Linked DNA regions of Struthio camelus. The protein of the gene in region 1 purifies or fractionates together with the protein of each later gene. This does not show direct contact. Links are inferred from orthologs where the notes say so. Each region holds a gene or a part of one and is shown in the gene's direction. Other genes may lie near its edges.

Region 1 (10,268 bases):
GATTTGGATGTTAGCATAGATCATAGGTTGAACAGAAGTAAATAGTGTTATGGTGCTGTAAAAAAGGCAAAAACTTACTGTAATTTATAGCCAGTGTTATCACCTACAAAACATGAAGTAATTCTTCAGCTCTCCTTGGAGCTGCCTAGGCCCCAGCTGGAACAGTGTCCAATTTGGGGCACTTCAGGAAAGGTATGGACCTACTGGGGAAAAAAAAAAAGCCAGAGGAAGACAACAGTAATCATCAGGCTTCATAAAAATTGACTCATAAGGAAAGGTTGCAGGAATTGAATTATTTAAGTTTAGACTGAACTTCATCCGAACAGCTGAACTTCAGAGAAAAGAAAACTGAGAGGTAAAATAACAGCAGTTTTCAAATACATAGGAGGTAATATCAGTGTGGAGAGGAATAAGCTGATTTCTTTGTCTGTTGTAGACGGGACAGAGCCCTGTTCATTTTGCTCACATAACTATTCTTATCACTTTTGATAGACTCTCTGGGAATTGTCATGTTACCCAAATAGCGCTAAATATAGTCTTTGCACTTCTACCATTTTCCTCGTGCATTATAAATACACTTCAGAAATACAGTTCAGGAAAAGCAAAGGGGAACTGGAGAAAAGGGAAAAATTTTCTTCCTGATGATTGCAGATTGCTCTGCTCCTCTGAAGCAGCTGCCATCTGAAATTGTTTTCAAAGAACCTTCTCCTCACCTTTGTGCTGAATAAGCCTACAGAAAAACCTGGCATGAACTTGATTTGAAATGAAATAACTCCCATCTTGGAGTGGACTGCGTGATGAAGATGTAGTTATAAAATAAATAATGATTCAGCTCTAACTTTCAATTTTGTCCCTATTAAGTTGCTCAACCAGGTGTTGAAGGCAATAGAATTTGCTTTTCCCCTGTTGGAAAGCTATTTTGAGTGCAGCATGACTGAAGAACAGCCACTTATTAGCTGCTCGGCAGCAGCTTCAGTTTTTCTGCTAGAATCCCCCGCAATTGCTTGAACAACACTTTTGCCAATACTAATCTAGTTCAATCAGTAACTATGACCCTGTGGTATGAAATTATGCTGTGGTTGTGATTGCGGTAAGTTGTCTGCTATTTTTTCTAATGTCTCTGTTTCATGGCCTGGTGTCGGCGAGGGGGATGATTTTGAGCTTCCGTTTACTTTTAATTCTTGTTCTCTTCATTGTATTCACTTAAATTCCCCTGTAATTTCAGTTCAGTATGCACCCTGGCTAAAATTCTTTGGTAGTGGTGTTGTGTATGTTACAGAGTTGCCATGTTTCATGCTGGAGCTCTTTCTTTCGGTGATGAGGGATGTAATCCTTCTGCATCCCAACTGGACTGTGAGGATTAATTAAAGCTTGCAATGCACTGTGAGTTCCTTGCATGGTACTGAAGTGGAAATTATTGTTCGTTACAGCCAGCCTGAATACCATCTGGGATTTCCATGTTATTGTTTCAGCTCTGTTGTGCATCACCAAGCTTGAGCTGGTACCATGAACAAAGGATTAGCATTGAACTCTGTTGTGTGTTCAGTGCTGTGTTCAGCACCTAGGTAAGGCCAAATACATCTCGAGTAGCTGAGCTCAGCACACCAGGACTCCACAGGCTTTTATGTAGCTTGAAGCCTGCAACATCCCTTTCCTTTTCCTGCACTTCCACTCTGGAATGGCCTGGATCCATGAAGCCCTTCACCTTCAGCCTTGTCTTCTGCTTACCTCCAACTGGGCTTTGAGTGACTGCAAGAAAGTGGTGGAACTGGGCTGTGCAGTTTGTAAAAGATGCATCCTTTTCCCATGCAGCAGAATCATCTGAAGCCCTCAGGGGACATGGCAAAAGGGGCTGGTCTTGCCTGACACCCAAAAAGTGATGCATATCCATCCTGCAGTATTCTTGTAGGCTTATAAAACCTACAAAACTTAACCTAAAACTTGTTTTGCTATTTTCCTGTGAGATCCATCTCCAAGCTCTGCAGTGCCCAAATTAATGTCCGCGAACTAAACGGCACAGCTATGATTTGTTCTGTTTTTATGCGCCAGCTTTAGTTCAGCTACGAAGGCATTCAAAAACGCACTCCTGTGACTCCACTGTCTTTGTGAGTGCCAACAAACAGACTGGGTTTAAATGACTGTGGGAACTCCCTTGGTATCATGACAGGAGCTCATTATCAAGATAGAAAATGGCATAAAGCTTAACCATCCAATTTGCTTGTGAAGGTTACCTGGAAAAGAGATTAGCTAACAGTTTGAACTTGACTTACTAATTGAAGGATTCTGCCATACATCTTAAGAGGGTAAAGATGCTTATCTTAAGTAAATTGGTACACTTGACTTTCCTAAAAGGGCACTGCTGAAGAGGTACAAATATACAGCTATCATCACACTAATTATTATATTTTTATGGAACTGATAGATTTCAGTTTTGGAGCTAAATACCAATGCTGAGCGCTAAATAAATACACGTCAAAAAGTTGGACACTGTCCCACTCTAACTTCCTGTTCCCTATCTCCTCCATAGCATTCGGCTCTCCTCAGCCTTTGGGGTGTCCGTTCTGGTTTTGTGAACAAGTACAAAATGGATTTGGCAAGAATTCTGCTGTAACCGTTCCTCAGTGGAGGGCAGCGCTGTGTGCGTTTGTCTGTTCTCTCGATGAAACATCAGTTTCTGTTTTATGAAGAAAAGCATATAGAATATCTACACTTCCAGATTCTGGAGCCGCTCTAGGGAGGAATGCCTACTTGATAATTTTCAAGCAATCACACTATGTGAACATATATTTCTTTGTCTCTGCATGTCCCCCAGGAACTTTTGAACCTTGTGTCCAATTTCCATTAATTTTTACTTACTGGTTGCAGAGATACTAAACTCTTATAAATTTCATAAGATATAGGGAATAAACCACATTAATGACCCCACCAGGTAAAGGTTTCAGTGAAGGTAATAATTATCTGTGGCACTCGTCCTGATATTAGCAAAGCAGCATATGTAGATCTCAGAAACATGAGCTGCCTCTTGCTCAGGAACAAGGAGATAAGGTTATGAAGGACAGGAACCGAAAACTCAGAGTGGAACTTCAAGAAAGAGACTTGCGACAAATCTGTAGGAAGCATGTTTAAAGAGAAGAATGTAGGGGACTAAACAGAGGGTCAGAGCAAAAGAGAGGATTGAGAGGAGGCGCAAAAGGGGTGGAAGCATATAGGAAAGAACAGAGAACAAAGGGAAAAAGAAGATTTGGGAAGGGGAGACTATGGACAGATGAAGAACTGAAAAGGACAGAAAAGAGACTGAGAATCAGAACAAAAGATATAGGAGAAACTGACGTTTCAATTTTTATGACAAGATAAATGTAATTTATTGTCATTATAGCTTCTTTAATTACCTTTCAACCTTTTTTTTTTTAAATGATGCCCATCTGTTCCGGGTAACAAGGTTTTATGACTTTTGTTCTCTCACCTTTCCCACGGCTTACATTCCCACTTTAATTACAGATTCACTTCAGAAGCCTTGCCTAATGTTTTTGCACCAGTGCTTCCTATTTGTGGTGATACTGCACTTGGGGAAACAAGAACACCTGTCTCTCCTGGTGGAAGGCTACTTGCTATTCTTGTGGATGTCCACCAGATGGCAAAACTGGTGTTTTTGTAGGGTTTTCAGGACCCCTTCAGAAAATAATATAACCTAAGGAGAGCTGGTTTAACAACAGATCCTTTACTGCACAGATTGAAAAAGGTGATTAAAATTAAGTGAGTAGATTCTATGTTGGAAAAAGTTTATTTCCTAGGAAGAATAATAATAAAAAAGGAAATAAAAGATGCACTTAGAAAATGGTGGTAGTTAGGTATGCACAATGTTCACTCTAGTCCCTGCAAATCTCTATGTGCGAGGAATATAAATCTCAGGAATCTCTGAATTAATACTACTACCCTTTTTTCTGTTGAAATAAATTATATAGAGACAATAATGTTACCTCATGTCTAATGTCTGAAATTCTTGTGACTTTCCCAGCTCTCCTTAGTTAGAGTGATACACAGGTAAGTAAATAAGCCAGGAACAGTTACAATAAACTGTTATTTCCTAGCTTCTGTAGTATAGACATAGGAATAGCTGTTAAGATTTGTTAATATTCTTTTCCCTCCAACCTTCCTTCATGACAGAAGATTGTAATTATGAAGATAAGCACTGATTTTCTTCCCTCACCTGTATGGGGTTTTTGTACCATTTTAACCATGCTGGCTTTAAAGACTTCTGCATTTAATCACTGAAGCTTTCTTGCATGTATATAGTTATACGGTGCACAGAATTTAGAGAAGCAATGTTTATTTCTTTTAATCTACCAAAAGAGGCTATACCAACACAGCATTTGTTATAAACTAATGTAACTGCATGTATTGACATAAGCTTCATACTAACAGGCTGCACATCTGACACTGTAAGATGTGAAATGTTCTTAAACTATAATCACTTGACTTAATTTTACATTGCATTGCCCCCTTCTTGTACTGCACTATCTCTGCTGGAAGGCCTATGCAATGAAAAAATCAGGTCCCTTTACCTTCCTCCAAGAAAATAAACCCTTATCCCCTGCAAAAATGTCTACGCCCACAGTCTCTGGATACGAGTAACAGCTCACTGGTGTCTGAGTGACTCACGGCCTCAGTTTGTAGTAGTCGATCTTTTCTTAAACCCCAAAAATAAGAGGGGTGAATTCACCTTTCTTTTTTAAAACCACAATCACGTCTTTTCAGGTTTGAGCCTCTTTTCCGATGGCAGGGACAAGGGAAGGATTATTTGCTTCATCCACGGTTCTGTAGGTTGACTTGAATTCTAGTTCCAACAGAGGAACTGTTGGTAGCAGCAGCAGAGCTTATTGCAGCCTTTCTCTTTTACTGGCTCGCTGACTTGCATCTGGCGTCGACTATTTTTGTTCAATGACTCCTAATCAATTATATCCTGCAGTACTCATTTTTCTGAGTATCAAGACACAAGTAAAAAGATGAGGCCCTTCCCGCCACACGTAAAAGTTATGGCACTGTGGGGGGAGAAAAAAAAAATCAGTGCTATATTTGGCGTGTTCCTAATTGCACTGTTCTATTTCCAGCTGCTGAAATCTGCACTAGAATTTTAATTAACAGAGCAAATTCATGCAGCAGATCCTAACAACAGGAAACGGTTATGCTATTTAAATAGGCTTTGAAATGATCAGATTTTATCTCCCAGAGCAGCACTGAGGTGAATATTAAAGCTGCTTCTGCTCTGGAAAAGCCTGCACGGGCGCAGCCAGCCGCAGGAGGTCAAACGCCAACAACCTTCGGAAAAACGGTTAAAACGGGGCCAGCTACCCAGACGACAGGGCAGGGCGAGGCCAAAAAAAAAAAAAAGCCGCTTCCTCCCCCGCGTCCCACCCGCCTGTGGACAAGCCCGGGACTGCCAGGCACGGCAATCCCCCTCCGCGCCCGGAGAGCTGCAGGAAGAGGCGGGGGGGGGAACCCCGGGGGCGGCAACGAAACCCCCACACCCCCTCGGCCGCCGCCGCCATTAGCCGCCCCTCGCCGGAGCCGCGGCGCCCCCGCGCGGCCGTGCCGCCCTTGCGCAGGGTGCAGAGCAGCAGGGCGCATGCGCACGACAAGCTCGCTCGTTCTCCCCCCTCCTGCCGGTTAGGCGATAGGCGCATGCGCAGGAAGGGGCCGGGGGGGGGGAAGGGGGAAGGCGCGTTTTCCCTCCCCCTTCTTCCCCCCCGGCCCGTTGGCGTTTAGGCGCATGCGTGCGACGCTGCGTGCCTAGTGTCTTTGGAAACCACCAGAAGGGGCGGGGGCAGCGCGGTGCTGGAAGCACGCGCGGCGCCGAGGGAGGAGGTGGGCGGGGCGCGGCCGGGATCAGCTGACTCGGGAGTCTCGCGCTGAGTGACGGTTAGCGGCGGCTGTTGAAGCAGTAACGGTAGCAGCGGCGGCGGCCTGGCGGGGCGAAAGGAAGGGTCTCGGTGCGAGGGAGGCGCTATGGCGACCACTGTCACTACCCAGCGGGGCCCGGTGAGTGCGGCTTCGAAGGTTGCTGTTAGGTCCTAGGGAAGATTTTATCCTCTTATCCTTACGAGTGTCCTGGGTTGGGCTGGCGAGGCCCGGCTTGGACCCTCCTGGGCCTCAGTCTCTGTCCTCCCCGTCTTCGACACGACTCCTGCTAGTGGGCCTCAGTGGGAAGGTGACTCACCCTTCTTGCCTCCTTCCCTTCCCCCAGTCGCAGCCCATAGCAAGGGGGTGCGGGGGAGAGGAGAGGAAAGACCTCCATCTCCAGCCTGCCATGATACTGTTGGGTGTGTGGGGGGGGGGGGGCGGGGGGGGGAGTCTGCCTCTTCTCTCAGCTCTCCGCCTTGCGAAAAGGCTTTGGGAAAGAAGGGAGGGGGGAGTCCCCCGTCTGTGCATGCGGGGCTTGGAGAGGCTATTCTGCTTGTTCTTTGTCTGTGGCCCTTCTAAGGAAGGGAACGATCTAAACTGAAGCAAAGCTCTTTCTCTTAAAAGTGGAGTAGAGCCTTGTAGTACCATGGGTGGGCTGCGCAGTTTCAGACGGCAGTTTTTGTAATCCCCGTCTTGGCGTTGACAACTGAAAGCTAGAACGTGAAACAAAATGCTGAAAGACTTATGCCACGGTAATATGCAGCTGGGGGGGGGAGAGGGGACTGAACAGTTTTAAAACCAGTTTAGCAGTCTCTGGGAGTTTGTGTTGATGGTTTATTGGGAAGTCTTATAGTCTAGTTATGCCCTGGAATAATAGTCCCCAATGCCAGGATGCTTTACTGCGGATATGAAGTATAACCCTGTAGTATAACACCTATCCTCCATTGATGTGCTATTTCTGTATGTTCCCTGTCTCTGGGAGGATCTGGTAGTAACAGGCAATACGTTGCTGCTTTGCTGGTAAAGTAAGGTTTTTTTTTTTAACATAAACTGTTGTATTTTATTTCCTAGAAAGCTTTTTTTTTTTTTTTTTTAATCTTCTATGCAGCCTTGCTGAAAGGCCAACAGGAGCGAGTTACTAAATTGCTATTCTGGAAAAGCAGCATCTGTGTCTGATGTTTGATGATCTGTGTTTGATTATTAACATAATTCATTAAAATGCCTTATTTGTCTGCTCTTCAAGAATAGATGCCTTTTCAGCACATTCTGATGATAGCTCTGTTGCCAGAATAAAAGTTTTAAATGGAGAGTTAAGGTAAAATGGGTGAATTAAGCTTTCTGCTGTTTCTGGATAACAGCATGGCAGGATGCAGGTTGTTGTTCTGACTGAATCTGTGGTGGATTAGGTAGTTGCTACCCGCAGAGGCTTGGTGGTTGAGTTGACTGTGTGATTGAACCCAGCACAATTCTGTCAATATGTAACAGGTTTGTTCAAAAAGGCAAAATAATATAAATACTTGACAAAATAATGCGACTTTGTTTAAAAGTAACTTCACTTCTAGTTATCCCTTAGTCTGTGTTTGGAAAAGGATGGGGAGGCTGAAGGGAATTGATGTGGAGGTGAGGGTTGAAGGAGGTGTTAACAACTTAAGTGGTTAAAGCTGGAACAGTAGTCTCCCTGATTTGCAGAGAGATGAAATTGTACAGATATTTCTGTCCCTACAGGAGTGATATTTCTTATTGAAAAAAGTTCTACTTGCCTATTGTGCTTCGTACCTTGTTCATATTCAGTAGAGCACTTCTAATCTTTGCTTGCTTTAGTTTGGTGAAATCCTCCTGTTGGGTTAAGAGTTTAGTGAGAACCTTTTGGACTTGGCTATAGACTTGCAGTTGTTTAAATATATCTGTCTATAGTTTGTCTCAAGTGTTTAAAGGAACTCAATCTCCTTACATTTAGAATATTCTTCTAGATGTCATTCTATTTTAGAAGTACCCAGATAGTCCTGTATAATCTCTTGGAAATACTTGTTACTTAGAATTGACTTTAGGCCTGCCAATTTGAAAGGTCCACGTAGTTTTTCTCTCTTATGTTCTAACATTATTGTGCATGCTTTTCTCATTGTTCTTCACCACTTTGGAGGTCTGAATGTCTTCAAATGAATGACTAAATCCTGCAGTATTTAAAAAAGCTGCCATTTGAAACTGAGAACGCTCATTTAGTACATGCTTGCCTTTCCTGATTTTTCTCTGGAGCAGAAGATGCAGTTCTACTTGTTTCTGTATAAGGCTGCATTACAAATGAATAGCCACTAAATGGTGCTAAAGGACTAGAAAATATTTCTCTCAGCGCTGCAGTGAAGGATACTCCTGTCTCTTTCTGTTTGAACAGGCAAGAAAATACTTAGTTGTTTCCAGCAGATAAGAAAATAAAGTACACTACCATACATTTGCTGATATTGTTCTTATACCTGTGATTTCTAGTTATGCTTTTTTTGGTTACTAATTAACACTTATTATTACTGTTAATTTTTAACACTTTTTGCTGTAAAGGAACTAGAATTCTTTCTGCCTGTTGGTAAATATTCTGCTAGAATTTCTCTAGCTATTTTCATGAAGGTAGGGAATCAGCATGATTTCCTGTTGTGTGATCTTTGAACAGCTTTTGAAAGCTGAAAGCTATAGCTGGCTATGTAATGGCTGTTAAATGATACCTTTTCGCAGTGAGAGAGATTTCCAACTAGTCCAATTGGGCTGCAGAGTTAAGTCTGAGAGAACTGAAACTGTGTGTATTTATGATTCCTTAGTTAGCCAAGCATACCCAAAATGGATCCCTTGATTAGTCATTATGCTGGCAAATATGTCAGGTTCTCCAAAATTAGATCAAATGCCATCCTAGCACTAATTAGATTTCTACTCCAGTGTTTTTCCTAATATTCATTATTTTGATGATTGGAAACCTTCTAATAGGCAGGCAATGTGTTTAGTTCTCTGTTCTTGTCCTAATACTGTCATTTAACTGCATAGGTCTTGTACTCTTTTTTTTTTTTTTTTTTTTCCCCCTCTCCTCTCCTGACCGAAGGTGACAAAGCAACTATTGCTGTTAAATTGTCCAGTGTCAATGCAGGTTATGCTGTCTCAGGAGCATTTTCTAATGCAAAGTCTTGTCACTGAAATGCCATTGATAATTCTGGATACGATTGAGTATTTTATTAGCTATTTTGGTTTTATTAGAATGCAGGTATATGTAGTACTAAAATTCTAATTTATGGAGGCGAAAGTGTCATAAAGACGTCACTGCAATCAATTTGGGTTTCAAAAGTTGCTTTAAAAAGTTGAGCAAGTAAGATTTCACTAAATAATTCTAAGGAAAATGTGAATTAATGCTTAAGGGCTGTGGTCCTTTGATCTGGGGCACGCTCCTTTGACAGAAAATGTTCAGGATGGCACTGACAACGCTTTAAAGTTCTTGCTCTCTTACAAATCCAGAAAAGTATTTTAAGGTACCTTCTAAGTGGATCATTTTCTATTGCATCCATTGGTATTTTGGAGAGACTGAGAATGTTACTATTCTGGACAAATCTAGATGTGCTGAGAAAATCTGGAGGAAATAGCTTGTGGTCAACTATCCAGTCAGAACTAAACATAGTTCAAGTACTTGGGGGAAGGGGAAAATAGTGTCAAGATGAGGATTATAGATTCACAAAGCCTTTACGGGAAGACACGTGGAATCAAATGAAGCAACAAAGTAGATGGGAACTTCTGGCAACAGGAAGGAATAATAAGAATGGGAGAAGAAACGTCTGGAATCTTTCAGTCCAGTACGTTTTTCATTTTGATGTCATTTTACAAACAAAAATTGTGTGTAAATTTAATCAACTTAATCAGCTATATTCTTTCCTTTGTTCATCTCTAAATTGAAAAGCTGAAGTAGAGCCTGTGACTACGGTTCTGTGGAAGCTAAAGTGGAGATGTCATACTACCACATAAATTATATAGAATCAAAAAATAATTCAGGTTAGAAGGGACCTCAGGAGGCTGCCTAGTCCAGCATCTTGCTCAAAGCATGGTCAGAGTTGAATACAGACCAGGTTGCTCAGGGTTTTGTCCAGTAGGGTCTTCAAAACCTCCGAAGACAGAGATTCTGCAACTCTCCTGGGCAATTTGTTACAATACTTTACTGTCCCTGTGGGTGATTTTTCAACGTGAATCTCTGCTGTTTCAGTTTATGACAATTGTCTATTTTCCTCCTGCATCTCGGAAGAGAACCTGGCCCTATTTTCTTGATAACCTCCTCACAGAGGCTGGAAGGCTGCTATTAGGGTGCTCTCTAAGGCTCCTTTAGTCTAGACAAATCTTCAGCCTCTCCTCAT
Region 2 (9,060 bases), on another chromosome or scaffold:
AAAAACTCATGTTACTGTGTATGCTCAGCATTTTTGCTGTGCATACTACAGGCTGGCAAGATAATGAACTTCATTTCCCTTTCCTGCTTCCCCTCCCACCGCTTTCAGGAAAGGTCAGCATTGGTCTTCAGCATCTTGCAAGTATTCCTCAGCAATCTAGGGTTTTCTTGGCATGCTATATGATCATGTGTTTATGCGCCACTATTGCTAAACGTGGGAAACAAACCCAATACTGTGGGAACCCTAGCATTTGTGTTAGTGGGAGCATGAATTATTTCACCCTCACATATCCATTATGAGACCTTAAATAGCAGGTAAGCGCTAATTATCATAGGAACAGTTTAGGCTCCGTCTTGGAGGAAGGCTGGCCAAGAGTTAAGCTAATGCACGTTTTCCTGAGCATATCTTTCTACAGCACCTGGAAGATTAGATTACTATTTAGAAAGTGCCTATTCCTTTTGTTTTGGAATTCAAGTTCAAAGGCTTGAAATGATTTTGTGGAACACAATTTGTTCGGCAAGTTAGGCCTATTTTCCAGGAAGCTAAACACTAGAATCAAGCTTAGATGCCTGAGAAGTTGCAGAGTTACCCCTATAAATCCAACAGGAACAGGGAAAGATAGATTTTTATTACTGTAGTTGCTTCACAGCAAACTAGACAAAGGTAATATTTATACTCTTGTGCAGACAGGCAAGAATCTTAACAACAATATCAAGGGTGGGAGAATTTTTTTTTTTTAAATAGCCCTCGTCTTCAAAAGGTCACTGTACGTTACCAGAAACAAACTTATTTTATGTTTTTTTGCTTTGGCCACAAGCTAGGCCAAAACCATAATTGTTTACTGAACTTTACCTAAGATGAGACTGTATTTCAACTTCTCTGCGTAGCTGATGTTCTACTCCAGCTTCCTCCAACTGCGTTTTAAATAGCACTTTCAATGCAAGAATAAATTTACTCTGCTTTTCACGTGCCAGGTATACATTTCCAAATTTTCCTTTCCCCAAAGGTCGACCAATTTCAAAGTCATCAAGAGACCACTGCCTTCTGTAAAAAGATATGGTTAAAGTATCAAAAGTCACACAAAGTATCCAGTTTTTGTATTCTGGGTTTACATTAATAGCATTTATGTTCAATAGACTACTTCCTGACCTGAGCTAGATTGTAGTACTTAAGGGAACACCACCAAGAGAACAAAACATGCATTGAGACTTCAGAAGAGAAGCCTGAAAGCTGGGCTCTTCCTTCTTAAAGCTTACATGTAGAGATGCTAACATCAGCCACGTGTTACTGCAAAAAAGTCAAAACTGCATGTACCAAGCCAGGCACATTTCAGTACAGTTAATACACACGCACTTACTAATGCATGTCAGAACTGTGTTTTAGAGCTAGCCATACTAAGAGTCTCATTCATCCCTAATCAGATTCCAACCTCTTGCACATACGAAGGAGGCATATTTTTCAATTGTACATCCTGTGACTAGATTAGTGTTTATCAGAGTTATCTTATGGGAGTTATCTTTTAGCAAAAAGCTTTTCTTTAGATGACAGGGAGTTCCAGTTCCTGAGAATTTTCAGGTCCAAGTAAGCTTTCCCAGAGTTTCATTAAGAAATGTTATAGCTATGAAGTGTTGGGACACTGTTCTCAATCAAGGGGCTGGAGTACTTAACTAGAACTTATCTACAGCTAATTTCCTTAGTTGTAGCATGTAGTCCTAGAAGTTAAAAGAAAGCCTAATTAAATGGGGCTCTGTTAGCATTTAGGAGCATTTAGGAACACAACAACTTACTTCTTTGTCTCTTCATTTTTCTTTTTAGTGGTCTCTTCATTTTTCTGTTTAGATGTGCTTTCTGCTTCAGTATTTTTTGCTATATATGAATAAGGGGAAACTTATGAACCGAATCCATGAGCACAGTACAAAAAAATGCATGTGGGGAACAAGTACAATCTCAGTGTAGTATCAGCAACAGTTCTTAGATTCCATCCAGTGATATTTTAAAAAATAAACTTACTATTGCAAGGCAGCATAGCAGTTGAGTTACACTGCTATCAAGATGTAATTCCAAGAAAGCTTTTTTAAGTCAAGAGAAATGTTTAGAAGCTTCCCGCCTCCCCACCACCATCAATACAGCACTTTATTATTCATTTTAATATCTTTGGTAATAAAGATCATGATGAATTAGTGCCAATTTCTTTAATTCACAGTTGACTAATAAGTAGCTGGAAGTTTTTCAAGAGCAAAGAAACACCCATATTAGTTCTAAACATGCAATCCTGGCAGTAACATCCAAGATCAAGCGTTACAATTCTGTTTCTGGGTGCAGCCAGATATTTCCGTACAAGACTCCCACATATCATTAAGATCAGCTTCAAAATTCTTGTACTGCACTCTGCTTCATAGAATGGAAGCATCCCAAGTGTCACAACTATTTGACCACATATGCATCATCTTAATTACCAGATCCTGGAGCCTGCTGAGGTTTTTCATTGTTCTTGCTTGGAACTTGAGGCCTAGCAGTTGGCTGGACCAGAGATTTTGGTCGTGGCTGCTGCCCTGTCTGGTTGTTGGACAGTTTTTGGTTTGACAGTGCAGATTTTTGCGTTTGTACAGGAACTCGCTGGGCCAAGTTCGAAGGACATAGAACACGTTGTGCTTGGACTCCACTGCTTAGTAACCGGCTGTGAGCAGAATGCTGAGGCACAGGGACACGTTTTGGGCCATCCCCGATGGGATTTACAGTCTTCAAAAAGAAAACATGATATTCTAATTATGGAAGAGCATACTACAATCTTTATGGCCTCATTCAAACAACATATATATGAGTTAGGGACAGGGTAAAAGGGGAATGTGACACACTAATGGGAGGTGTTAGGATATTCTGATCATAGGCTTTAAGGATAAATTTGATTTATAGACTACTCTGCTGACATTTTCTTGTGGACAGCATATTCACTTATAGCAAGTGGAAGAACTCCACATAAGTCTGAAGAGTATCAGTCAACAGTAGCAAGACTGACAGACCCCTGCTTCCAAATCCTACCACTTGCCTACTGTGCTTTGTTTTGAATCACTGCTCTCTTGAATGCATCTTAATTTGCCTTGCAACATAAGAAGATTTCAGCAGAACAAAGTTTATTCTGTAATTTTTAGTTAACCGGTTTTAATCTTTTCCTTCCAAGGAGTGAAAGCTACAGGTAGTTAAGGCTTATACTTCAGCCATTCTTAGCTGTTCTAGGATACTTTGCCTAAAATTCAGTTCAAATATTGCTAATTAGCTTCTCACATTTATTTTAAACCCTCTAATGATACCTATGTAATAATTTTTACTTCTTTTTCCCCCTAGACATTACTTAATCTTCTGGTTCAGTTCAGTGAAAGTGTACTGACAGCCTGATTAACATATATATATATATATATGTTTTACTCATGCTAGTTTTGAAGCCTCATGTTTCTAAATTAAAAGAATGAGAAAGTATCTGTATGCAAAGATAATGCAGTCAGGATTATCTTGAGCACTCTCCACATGGATATACTAATAGTGACATTAACACAATACTTGCTTTTGGAAACCATATCTGGAATAAGTTACCCACATGCACTTGCTGTTCAGTTAAAGGCTATTAGATTATATGCAAGATACCAGGAAAGTGTTTTAATTAGAGAATGACATATCAATACTAGCAAGAAGGCAAACAAGCCTTGAGCAATGTTCTCTCCAAAAGAGAAGCTGAAAGATAAAGATAGGAATTTGTTTCTGGCAAACAGGAAATGCTACTTCAAGACAAATTTCCTTTTTTACTATTTAGAACTGTGGTAGTCACCACAGTTTTAAGTCTATAGCTCTTGTATGATCACAGAAAGCAGAACAATCAACCTAGCAAGTTATTTACCTTAGCAGCATAGCTATGGTGTCCAGAATGGTTCTCTTTAGTATTCTTGTCCATGATGCCTGAGGAGAAGGGCACATATAGGTTAGCCTACACGTGAGGCACAGTTAGCACAGACCAGCTCCTCGGGCAGCGCTGCGCCTCGCATCTTCCCCTCCGACGCTCCCCGCCTGCGCCCCTCCGCTCCCTCGCGGGCCGGGCGGCCTCTGCGGCCGGGCCTGCGCTCCCGCGCCGCAGCACCCTGCCCCCGGCTCCCAGCCTGCGCTTCCCGGCAGCACCGCCCGCGGGCTCGGCCCTCCGCGACACGGCCCCGGGCCCCATCCCCGCCGCGGGCTCCGGGCGCCCGCTCACCCCCGGCCTCGGCTCCCTCCGGCCGCCAACGCTGTTTGAATTCAAACCGCCCTCCCTTAAATACCCTTTAAACTACCGCCTCTTTCCATTGGCCCGTCTCCCGCCGTCCGCGCCCGCTGATTGGCTCCTTCTTCACCGACCCGCCCGTCCATTGGCTCGCCAAACGCTCCGCTCGTTGCGAGGCTGCGCTTCGTCGTGGTGAGCCTCTGGGGCGCATGCGCAACGGCAGCCTGCTGCGTATCCCGCGTAGGGCCAACTCGCCCGCCCCCAGGGCGGTGTTTGCGCTACATGCGTATTTTACGTACCGTCTCTCCGCCGCTGGCTCCTTCCGTACTCCAAGTGCGTGGATCGGCGCCCCGTTTACACACTTTTCTCCGCAAGTCTCTGCTTGGCCGGGTCTTCCGTTACGCAAATCGCGTATGTCCAGACCACCCACCTGTGGCAACGCTACAACTACCATCCCTTCCTCACAGCCATTGAGGCCTCAGAGCGTGCAGCCGGCTGTGGGGGGAAGGGCTTCAGGTTAGTCCTGCATCCTGTGAGGCACGAACCCGCTTCCCTCACCTCCTCCACACACGCACCCTCCGGCTCGGGCTGAGGGAGAGGCTGTGCTGCCACCTCGCGTGAAGCCGAGCGTGAGTGGGGCTCGGGGCCATTGTGTCCTGCCAGCGAGGAAGGTGCCACGGGTGGCAGCTGCCTAGCCCGGCGGACCCGCAGGACAGGCAGAGGGGCGAAGCAGGCCTCTGCCTCGCGTTGCCCGGACGTGCGGCCCAGGGCAGCGCTCCACGTGCCGTGAGCTCTTGAGGACGAGCGCGAAGGGGACACTCGCCACCGCACAGCCCGCGAGGTGACGCCTGGCCAGAGGTACCCTCACCAGCCAGCAGACACGCGTGAAGGGGAAAGCAGACCGTCGTGTTACACCAGTGGTGACGTGCGGTTGCTGGCAGCTTCCAAAGCCCGGCAGGTATTGAAGAGACACAGAGCGGCAGCGGTACAGCGGTGACAGTGGAGGATCAGTGCAGTTTGTGAGCGCAAGCGTAACAGGAGCTTGGGGCTGTTGTGTTGTCTCAGTGGCCAGCTGCCCAAGTGGTCCTACTCACACCTGTGAGGAGGACCCAGGCCACTGAGTGGCAAGCGACAGCCAAAACCAGTTTGAGTCCGTTGAGCCTCTGAAGAAGCGTGATTGAAGACAACTCTTACTGGCTGTGCAGCGTTGAGAACAAGCGCAAAGGCGAGTCTGGTGTGTCGGCTCTTACAAGTGATACAGGATAGGTAAAAAGAAGATGTCAGGTCGTCGCGTTGCTGCAGCATGTGATAGACGACAGCTCCCACGGGGCATGGGTAGCATGGCATCCCCCCTCCTTGACCCGCGTCCACTTCGACTTCCGTTTCTTGAGGCTGACGTGAGTAGGACTTTTGGGAGGGTGGTGTTTGTACGCTTGGGACAGGCTCTCAGCCTGCTGAGAGCCCGTGAAGTGTGGCAGCGTGAGGTGCTTGTTACTGTGCTGCCCAAGTTGTCGAACTCATCAGAGAGGCCTGCAGCACAGAGCAGCAATGCCAGAAACTTTGTTATTTTAGCCCCTGTGGATGTCCCCGTGCTTGGGATACTGGTGTCCCAGCAGAAGCAGCGTTTCAGAGCTGTGCAGCTGGGACGCTAAAGAATCCTGGCCCCGGGTCTCCTGAGACGAGGCACCCTCCTGCTAAGACCCGGCCCTGAGCTCCAGGGGGCTCCCCCACGCAGGTCACCTAGGCCTGCCTCCCGCATCCCACCCGGGAACACTGCTGCGCCTTCTCCCGGCGGGGCGCTGCCCTCCGCGGGGCGGGTCGCGCTAGACGCCGCCGAGGGGCCCCCCGGCCGCCCCATCGCTGCCCCCCATTCTCCCCCCCGTCCCCCCCCCCACCGAGGGCGCTCGGGGCGCGCTTGGCGCGTCACCGCTCACGTGACGGAGGGACCTGCCAGTGCCCGGGCGCGCGCGTGGTGTCACTGTCACGTGATGCTGCAATTCTCTCCTTCAAGAGTCGCCTCCAATCGATTTGCGGGCGCTCGATGCAGCAGCCTTCGCGGAGGAGCATTCTTCGCTCTCGGCCGCCGCCGCCACCTCCTCCCCTGCCGCCGCCGCCGCCAATCGATGCGCTCAGGGCTCCGGTCGCCATTTTAGGGGGAGAGCGAGGGAGGCAGAAGGAAGGGTCGGTAGGTACCGGCGCTGCTCTGGGCGCTCCCTTGCTTTCGTCTCCGCTGCCTTGGCCGGGTTTCGTCCTCTGCAGCTCCCACCCGAAGCTGCCTGTCCGCCCCCGGTGTCTGAAGCCTGCTCCCTGTGACCGCTGTGCTCCGGCTGAGCACTCTCCCCGCCCTCATTCAGTCCCTTTCCCCCACGCCCCCTCCCTGTCTGGTTATTGGTCCCCGAAATTGGTTATTGGTCTTATTACTCGAGGCTGGGAGAGGGTGTAGAGGGCGAAGAGAAGCGTGTGCTGGCTGGGAGGAGGTGTGGAGAGGATGTGAAAGCCTCGGATGAAAGGGGGGAACGTATGTGTTAGGGTGGCTAATGTGCAGGGAAGTCAAAATGCTCTCTGTTAATCATCTTCCTAGCTCTGCGTGCCCAGGTCCCCCTGTCTGCTGGTGTTAGCGAGGCTAAATGAAAGACACTGACAGGATAGTTTTGCTAACTAATGCTGTGATTTTTTTTCACCGCATCATTTTCTTTATTGCTCTTTAATATGGTTAACGTTTACTTAATGGCAATGTTTTCATTTCTGCAGCAAATAAGTGCAACAGATTTCTTATGTTTTCCTATATTTTTTAATTTTGTCTATTTAATACTGAATCTTACCTGAAACATGATAGCATTAGCTATGATCTCCTACTGTGAAGCTCAGCAGGAGGTACTTTATGCAACGGTCATAGTTGTTATATGTAATGCTCTTGTATGTGATTTTTCTCTTGTATTTGTTTATTTCAGGCCCCTCCAAGGCATTCCTTGCTAACAATGTATAGAACAAAAGTCAGCTTGAAAGATCGTCAGCAACTTTATAAACTAATCATTAGTCAGCTGCTATATGATGGGTACATAAATATTGCCAATGGCTTGATAAATGAGATAAAACCGCAATCAGTCTGTGCACCATCTGAGCAACTGCTGCACCTAATTAAATTAGGTAAGCTAGAATAAAAAAAATCATAAAAAGTTCAGTTTCTAGATCTGTAGTTAAATCCGTTTGGGGTAGGAGTTTAATGTTACTGAGAGTACTTGGGTAATGCAAAGCTTAAGTTTAGCGGTACCATAACGTTTTCATGTGTATTTGTTCTCTTGATATGCACTGGATGCAAAACAGATCAGTGACTGTTGGCAAAATCTGTTTGTTTGAACTTCTGTAGCGTGTGAGATTACCTGTCCAGGGTCCTGGGTGACTGACAACTTTCTAAAAATGTGCTTCAGTAAACAGGATCATTGAGTCTGCAGAAGTAATAGAAGTAGGGTGAGCCTCACAGTTCTCTGTCAATGGTAGAAAAATTTTCAATATCATTCTCACTGAAAGCGTAGGAAAGGAACTAAGCCCTTCCATAGGCCATGTTCATTAGCCTTTATATACTGGTCTCATTAAAAATGAGCTTCATGTTCTAGGGCCTCAGCAAGGGTACAGCCTATTTTCTCTCTCTCTCTCTCTCTCTCTCTCTGAGAGTACATCTGTGCCATAGTATATAGTCAAAATACCTGAGCTGCTGTTAAAACAAGAGGCCTGGACATAGCTGCATGTGTTCTGTGTATTGTAATTGAACTGGTTCTGCTGCCTGAACTAGTTGAGCTCCAAGGGTTTAAATATATGAAGCTTTATATCTGTCTGGAATAAGAATACAAGAGTCATTTTGTAGATGAAAGCAATGAAAACTTTTCTATCACCTGTGATAGGTTGATGAGCACAGTTAGGCACATAGCTGAAAATTCTTGCATCCTGCCTTATTACGAGTTCCAGTGCTGAACTGTCTTTATCCTGTAGATGCATGATGGAAATCAAAAAGTTAAATCTGAAGGGTGGGTGCGAACAGAAGTAATGATTTTTATTAGCAATGCTGAGGTGGTTTGTGGGATGGGTTTTTTTCCCCTCGATCCAGTAAAACAAAAATCTAAAAGGCTTAGTAAATGCTGCCGTTTTTAACTTTAAATCTCATGTAAGAGTGTTGAGATTTGATTCTCCGTTCTGTAGAAAAGCTTGCAATAGGTCTGTCCAGGGCTTCCCAAAGTGATTATTAGTGCATTTATCAGTACTTACTATAATATTATATTTGCTGGTTGTATTTCCAGGGTTAAAATTACAAAGCTAAAATTGCTAGAGCGTGTTGTGCTCTAGTGTAGCCAAGTTAGCTCTCATTTCTCGTGAGAAGTGTTGCTGTATAATGTGTTCTGCTAGCCTGGCTTTGTTGAGTAGGGGCTTATCTCTTCTAACACCTGCCTCGTATACATGTTAGAGAAATCTGTAGCACAGATCTGGCCACAGCCTATCCATCTATGGGGAAAGTTAGCATATTTTAAGTACATCAACTTCTCTCTTTTCAGGAATGGAGAACGATGACAGTGCTGTTCAATATGCAATTGGGCGGTCCGATACAGTAGCTCCAGGCACAGGAATTGACTTAGAATTTGATGCAGATGTACAGACCATGTCTCCTGAGGCTTCTGAATACGAAACTTGTTATGTCACGTCTCATAAAGGACCATGTCGTGTAGCTACATATAGCAGAGATGGACAGTTAATAGCTACAGGATCAGCTGATGCCTCAATAAAAATTCTTGATACAGAGAGAATGTTGGCCAAAAGTGCTATGCCTA

What was found.
Region 2: the proteins of TOLLIP (region 1) and CSTF1 purify together in Homo sapiens (co-immunoprecipitation; 3 studies listed by BioGRID and IntAct, with this or other methods). This does not show direct contact. The link is inferred for Struthio camelus from reciprocal best matches to the Homo sapiens genes TOLLIP and CSTF1.

Annotation. Positions count from the first base shown.
Region 1 is NC_090946.1:17,358,970-17,369,237, reverse strand, and holds the start of TOLLIP (toll-interacting protein), read left to right. Parts: upstream 1-5,879; 5' UTR 5,880-6,003; coding exon 6,004-6,036; intron 6,037-10,268. UniProt on the Homo sapiens protein: Component of the signaling pathway of IL-1 and Toll-like receptors. Inhibits cell activation by microbial products. Recruits IRAK1 to the IL-1 receptor complex. Inhibits IRAK1 phosphorylation and kinase activity.
Region 2 is NC_090959.1:12,392,510-12,401,569, forward strand, and holds the start of CSTF1 (cleavage stimulation factor subunit 1), read left to right. Parts: upstream 1-4,560; 5' UTR 4,561-5,520; coding exon 5,521-5,640; intron 5,641-6,254; coding exon 6,255-6,428; intron 6,429-7,194; coding exon 7,195-7,390; intron 7,391-8,787; coding exon 8,788-9,060. Other genes in the region: AURKA (aurora kinase A), read right to left, coding at 853-1,044, 1,788-1,866, 2,457-2,739, 3,890-3,943. UniProt on the Homo sapiens protein: One of the multiple factors required for polyadenylation and 3'-end cleavage of mammalian pre-mRNAs. May be responsible for the interaction of CSTF with other factors to form a stable complex on the pre-mRNA.